Linked DNA regions of Kluyveromyces lactis. The protein of the gene in region 1 purifies or fractionates together with the protein of each later gene. This does not show direct contact. Links are inferred from orthologs where the notes say so. Each region holds a gene or a part of one and is shown on either strand. Other genes may lie near its edges. The genes, in order: PRE4 and PRE8.

Region 1 (2,992 bases):
TGATTCACTCGATCCTGCGCGTTTCATCAAGAAACTCTGTGTATGATTGTTTAGGGGGCCCCCACAGCTTCCTAAGATAGTTAGTTCAAATGAGCATCCAGGATACGTAGACATCTTTTCACTTTCGAAACCAGAATGGAAATATATCGCAAGATATCGGTAAAAATCTGTTTCCTGGCGTATAGATGCCTACCCTACAAGCCAGTTGTATTTGAGAGTATGGAATATAGGTATACTGGGCTAGCGCTATAAGTCCTCTAGTCTTTCCTTTGTCGATGATTCATTAATCAATTAGGTTACTACTTGTTTATATAGAATTAAACTTGTTTTCTAAAAGAATTGGAACTGTAAAAGAATAAAGAAAGGTAACTCCAACGATAACCTTCATATATACAGGTCCCTTCACTCGAAATATCTTAGTGACATAATGACTGAGCTGGCTGTCCAGTAGTTGACAGCATTGACGCCGTTTTGATCAGTTTCTTTCTTGGTGTATTATGTGTGAATATGTGCCCTAATTCAGAATTTACGCATAGTATACATTTATAGAGAAAACACAGAAGAGGTGAGGTCTTCCCGTTATTGACAAAGAAAGTATATATTACCAGAGCAGGATCACCATGTGTTGCTCTTCCTTTGTTGGCATGAGATTGTGTATTTTGGTGCAAGTATTATCTGCGTGGATAAGTGAAAGCATGAAGACAAGACGAAGTAAATCCGAAACCTATACCTTTTGGGTACCATATCCTCTGATGTCTTTGGCGAATTCCCAAGACATATTCTCTACTTGTAGGTCCTTTTCGATATTGAGCCCCAGTTCATTGTCGATTATAGCCAATGAAAACTTACGTGAACTACGGGCATCACGGTAGTATAATATTTTCATTGCCTCTAGGATAGCTTTCTTAGCAACATCTAGATTCACTTTTTCCACGTCCTTTTCGGTGTCTACTAGCTTTCTTAAAAGGGGCAATGCCAAGTGGGCACCGAACCCTGTAGCCAACGTTGGCGAAGAGTATGTGACACCTAATAGGTTAACGTATCTTAAAAATGGCTTTCCATCTTCTGTGCCCCCTACAATTATCGCATTCCATAAAGGATCTAACTTGGATCTACGTTGGTACATCACAGATGATAGATATTCAAAAACGAAGCTTGGTTTCAATTGCTCCTCATTATCCGCATATGCGCTATCGTAATTGTTTTCAATTTCCATCTCGTCTAATAGATGTTGAATGTATTGCATATCGGAAATGTCACCGGATACACCAACAACCGTGTTGGGACCCACTTTGATCAATCTCTCCTCGTTTGTGAAACGTAATAACGAACCGTAAGCACCTAGATTATCAGCTGCAACAATAACACCGTTATTATACTTAATACTGATGACAGAAGTACCGGTAATAATAGGGTTCTGAGTATTCATCTTTGGATTATTTGACGCTTGGGCAATGGCATGATTGTACGCGCCATAGTGTTCGTCAGATGGCCTTCCCCAGGCAAATGGATCGTGATTCATGTTGGAAAGTGTTTCAATGGATTGGATTCGCAGAAAATACCCTTGGTGACTCTTTAGTGTTGATTGTAACCTGTCGTGAAGTGAACTCCTTATGTATTAATTATGAATTGCATGTCTCTCTTATATTCGATAGTGGCAAAATCGTTCTAATAAGGTAAAATGTTAAAGGGCGGGTAACGCTATATTTTTCCAGCTAAAACAGAGTGATCAACAGAGGATACGACCATCGGATAGTAGTACACAGCAGCGCACTACACTACCTATATGGCGCTTTCACGAATATTTATATCACATTTTAGGGTCTGAGGCTTGTTACAAACAGGGTAAATTAGATATTAAATCTTCAACAGGAAGGGAGGCTGAGGGAAGTAAAATAAAGAGCATTCTATATAAAGCCTATACATACTGAGATCGCAATTGAGTGTTCAATAGAATTCTACATTGATCTTAACCTTGTCGCTGGAACCACGGGATAATTTCCTTATTTTCTTTTGCAACGTGATGATTCTTTGCCTCACAGAAGCAATAGTCTTTAGATCGTTTCTGTTAATCTTGACAACAACTTCGAATATCCTCTTGTTCGGGTTCCCTGTTGGAGTTGGCTTGCCGTTTCCTGAAAGGTTCTCATCTATAGATAGCATCTGTAAATCAATAGCCGATTCATCTTTCTCCGAAGTGCTGAAATGGAAGACACCATCTCCAATGTTACCACCAGGGTGAACACCACAAATGACATACATGATAGTGCCAATGTATTTTGTCCACCATATTGTCCTTTCACGTTCTAGTTTGTCACCATCTCTTAGTGCAATGTCTTCCAATAGCTTTTTGTACACTTCTTCAGGTTCTGGTATGTCTCCACCCCATCTATTGCACAATGCTATTCCCACCAAAGCTCTTGATCTGTGAGATAGCCCATGACACCCAGCAATGATACCAGATGTACCTACACGTAGTGCTGCGGTCGGTTGTAGTTCCTTTGGATATGAAGCGTGTACGAAAGCGAGGTTACAAAGAGCAGGAGCTATTCTTTCGTATACTATCTTTGGAATCTCTTTAGTAGGTATAGCAGTCCTTAATAGTTCCAAATATTTGTGAACAAGCAAAGGAGCATAGGGTCTGGTTGCAATGACAAGTGGATCCTGTGCTCTAATCTCCCTTGGAAGAATCGAGTATAAAGTACCTTCTCTGACACCACCTTCACTGAAATGAACGTTTTTGATCTTGGGCAATGACTCGGAAGCTGCTGCCATGAGTAGGCCTACAGCTGGTAATTGTTTGGCTCTTCTATCAGAGACTTTAAAGATCTTACTTGCCGATTCACCTGGAACTCTCTCCTTCAAAAACAAGTAGTCACACATGTTTGAGAACTCGCTAAAACTGCATGAAAATCCATTTATAATTGTTTGAATAGGATATTCTTTGATCTGCGATAATAGAAGATGACCCATCCCTCGCAAGCCACCACCG
Region 2 (3,053 bases), about 110 kb from region 1:
GCAAAACACTTGTACATAGCGATAGGAACAGTTCTATAATCGAAGACTTTATTTAATATATATTACATCAATTGTAAACACATTTTCAGTAATTATAGGGTTATCATTTGATATCTTTTGTCGTCGTGGTTGTCAGTTTTTGTTTCTTGCGAGAACTAAGAAGGGGTTTACCGTCTGATTTACGTTTTCTTGGCTTTCTACTATGTAAAAGGTTCTGATTTTGGAGCCAGCTTTGTCTTTCCACTAGCCTCTGTACATCATCTTGTTCTGTAGGATTTAATACAACAATGTTCAATCGCGTGTAGCTGGTACCACAAACATAACAACCGGTTCCGTTATCTAATGCGCTTAAGGTGTTCACATGTCCGCATGTATCAATGTAGCCAAATTTCCTACGGTTCCCCAATACAAGATCAGTTGTTGTTGTACCAGTACCGGATAAACTGACACCAAGAGTGCCATTGCCAAGTTCTTGCAAATTCGTTAACTCCACTAAATCCTTTCGCAGCTTAATATGTGAAAAGGCATCTATGACCACTTGGGTGTATTCTTCAGACTTATACTCGGGCTTCACCAAGAGCCATTCCAATATTGACTCCTTATTGAAAAGGTTGCCCTTACAGTCACTAAACAAAGGTGGCATTAGTGGTGTCCCCAAGAGACGACAATTGGACCACAAGTCATTCCAATAGTACTCTAATTTCTTAGCTTTGGCCGCATTTTTGGAGGCGTCATCGACTACTCTGATTCTAACGCCTTTAATTATGGATCCTCCATCGTTCTTAACCGTAAAGTTTTGTTAATTGTTAGTAACACATGCTTCAATTCATATCATTAACGTTACGTTATAGTCAGAACGAACGTGTCATTCGCTAGCTTCGGAGAAGTAACTCAAAAAGAAAAGGGAAAAAACGTACTCCCATATTGCGTGAGGATATAATAGATCAGTACAGGTTTTCAGAACCCCCCGAATACAGTCCAAAATATTTTCTTCTTGCTCATCTCATCTTATTTACCTGTGTGAATGTGCGATGTCATTTTTTTCTGTTGCAGCCTTAAAAATCCCTCTCTGCGCGTAGAAATATACAGAGAGAATGATAACCAAAGTCTACTTAGAGAAGCAATAAGGGAAAAAAGAGGCCGACAACTATCGTTCATCTAACCTTGAACCACGAACATAAACTCTTCATGTTACGCAAAAAGCTTTTCTCAAAACCAGATCTACCTCTTGTTATCCGGTTATTGTATCGCAACGCCAGCTGGAGAGACTTGGGAATTATATTGTTACCCGGAAATATCCATCCTACATTGAAATTTAGGAAAAACCTTTAAAAGGTGGCAAACAATATGAGCTCTGAGCATGTTTCGTTTCTGTCGTAGAAGACAGCAACCAGAGCTAATTGAGTCCAGGATTGCGCATCAGTACTGCAGGTACTCATAACTAATATTAAATAAAAGATGGCTGACAGATATTCGTTTTCTTTAACGACGTTTTCCCCAAGTGGTAAATTAGGACAAATTGATTATGCTTTAGCGGCTGTCAAGCAAGGTGTTACTTCGTTGGGTATAAAATCGACCAATGGTATTGTGATTGCCACTGAAAAGAAGTCTTCATCAAGTTTGGCATTACCAGATACCGTATCCAAAGTTTCGCTCATAACACCCGACATTGGTGCAGTATATTCTGGTATGGGGCCAGATTTCAGAGTCTTGGTGGATAAGGCAAGAAAAGTAGCACATACGAATTATAAGAGAATTTATGGGGAATACCCTCCAACTAAGATATTAGTCTCTGAAGTAGCTAAGATTATGCAAGAGGCAACTCAATCAGGTGGTGTCAGACCGTTTGGTGTTTCTGTACTGGTAGCAGGACACGACGAACATAATGGGTTCGGTCTTTATCAAGTGGATCCATCTGGTGCATATTTCCCATGGAAGGCAACTGCCATTGGCAAAGGCTCGTCTGCTGCTAAGACATTTTTAGAGAAGAGATGGAATGAAGAATTAGAACTTGAAGATGCTATACACATTGCTCTTTTAACATTGAAGGAATCAGTGGAAGGAGAATTTAATGGAGACACTATCGAACTTGCTATTGTAGGAGACATAAATCAAGAATTGTTGGGTTATCAAGGTGAACCTCGTGCAAAGGGCCCAAGATTCAGAAAATTGACTTCACAGGAGATTACCGATCGATTGGACGCTTTATAAGTAAAATGTTGAACGTTATCGTCACGGCACGAGCACAGGTAAGAATATAAAGGACTCACATGTCTTATGACATTTTATGTGTAATACTTCCTTATTTAATTGGTAATGAATAAATTTGGGGGGGCTACCAAGAATCGATCGAGTGTTGTATGTGTAAATTTGTATCAACGCTTGAATCTCTCATCATTATTTGACGTATATATATATATATAATACAAATTAAACGGCGCTATTTGAAAGGCGCTTTTAATGGGTCTATAACTGTACTTCCCTTGGTCAAAATTCTTGGCTTTATCATCTTTTGATGAGATGTTCTGGAAGTCCATTCTTGCCCTAGTGGCATTCTTAAAGATCTTTCGTATTGTTCTCTGCTTTCGAATGGGAAAGGGACAGAGGACGATTGATATTTTAAGTTCTTTTTGTTAACTCTCTCATTTATGATGACGTTCTTCAATGATTTGTCTCTTCTTTTGTCTTTTTCCACCACACCTTTCGTCTTCTTGATGAATTTCCGCTTTCTTTTGGTTTCAGCACCAGCACCGGCCCAATCACCCCAGCCAGGCAATGTGACGTCCTCTTCCTTATCATCTTCATCAACAGCGACTCTCCTTTTTTCCTCTTCAAATTTAGAAACAACATCGTCCCCAGCGAATGCATCGGCTATGACCTCTTGTTGTTTAAACATGGTATTTGTAGAAGTTTCATCATCAGAACCACCATAAGCATCAACGATGTTCAAAGTGTTGCTATCCTCAAGATCAAGTAGAACGTCTTCATCTTTTGTGGAACTGGGTTTCTTCTTGCTTTGTTTTACCATCTCTTTTCTGATCTTGTGCGCAGCT

What was found.
Region 2: the proteins of PRE4 (region 1) and PRE8 purify together in Saccharomyces cerevisiae (affinity purification with mass spectrometry; 5 studies listed by BioGRID). This does not show direct contact. The link is inferred for Kluyveromyces lactis from reciprocal best matches to the Saccharomyces cerevisiae genes PRE4 and PRE8.

What each region holds. Positions count from the first base shown.
Region 1 is NC_006040.1:986,374-989,365, reverse strand, and holds PRE4 (proteasome core particle subunit beta 7), read right to left. Parts: upstream 1,523-2,992; coding exon 725-1,522; downstream 1-724. Other genes in the region: 3',5'-cyclic-nucleotide phosphodiesterase PDE1, read right to left, coding at 1-114; RTG2 (Rtg2p), read right to left, coding at 1,948-2,992. UniProt on the Saccharomyces cerevisiae protein: Non-catalytic component of the proteasome which degrades poly-ubiquitinated proteins in the cytoplasm and in the nucleus. It is essential for the regulated turnover of proteins and for the removal of misfolded proteins.
Region 2 is NC_006040.1:875,333-878,385, reverse strand, and holds PRE8 (proteasome core particle subunit alpha 2), read left to right. Parts: upstream 1-1,458; coding exon 1,459-2,211; downstream 2,212-3,053. Other genes in the region: KLLA0_D10395g (uncharacterized protein), read right to left, coding at 104-781, 918-923; UTP14 (Utp14p), read right to left, coding at 2,441-3,053. UniProt on the Saccharomyces cerevisiae protein: The proteasome degrades poly-ubiquitinated proteins in the cytoplasm and in the nucleus. It is essential for the regulated turnover of proteins and for the removal of misfolded proteins.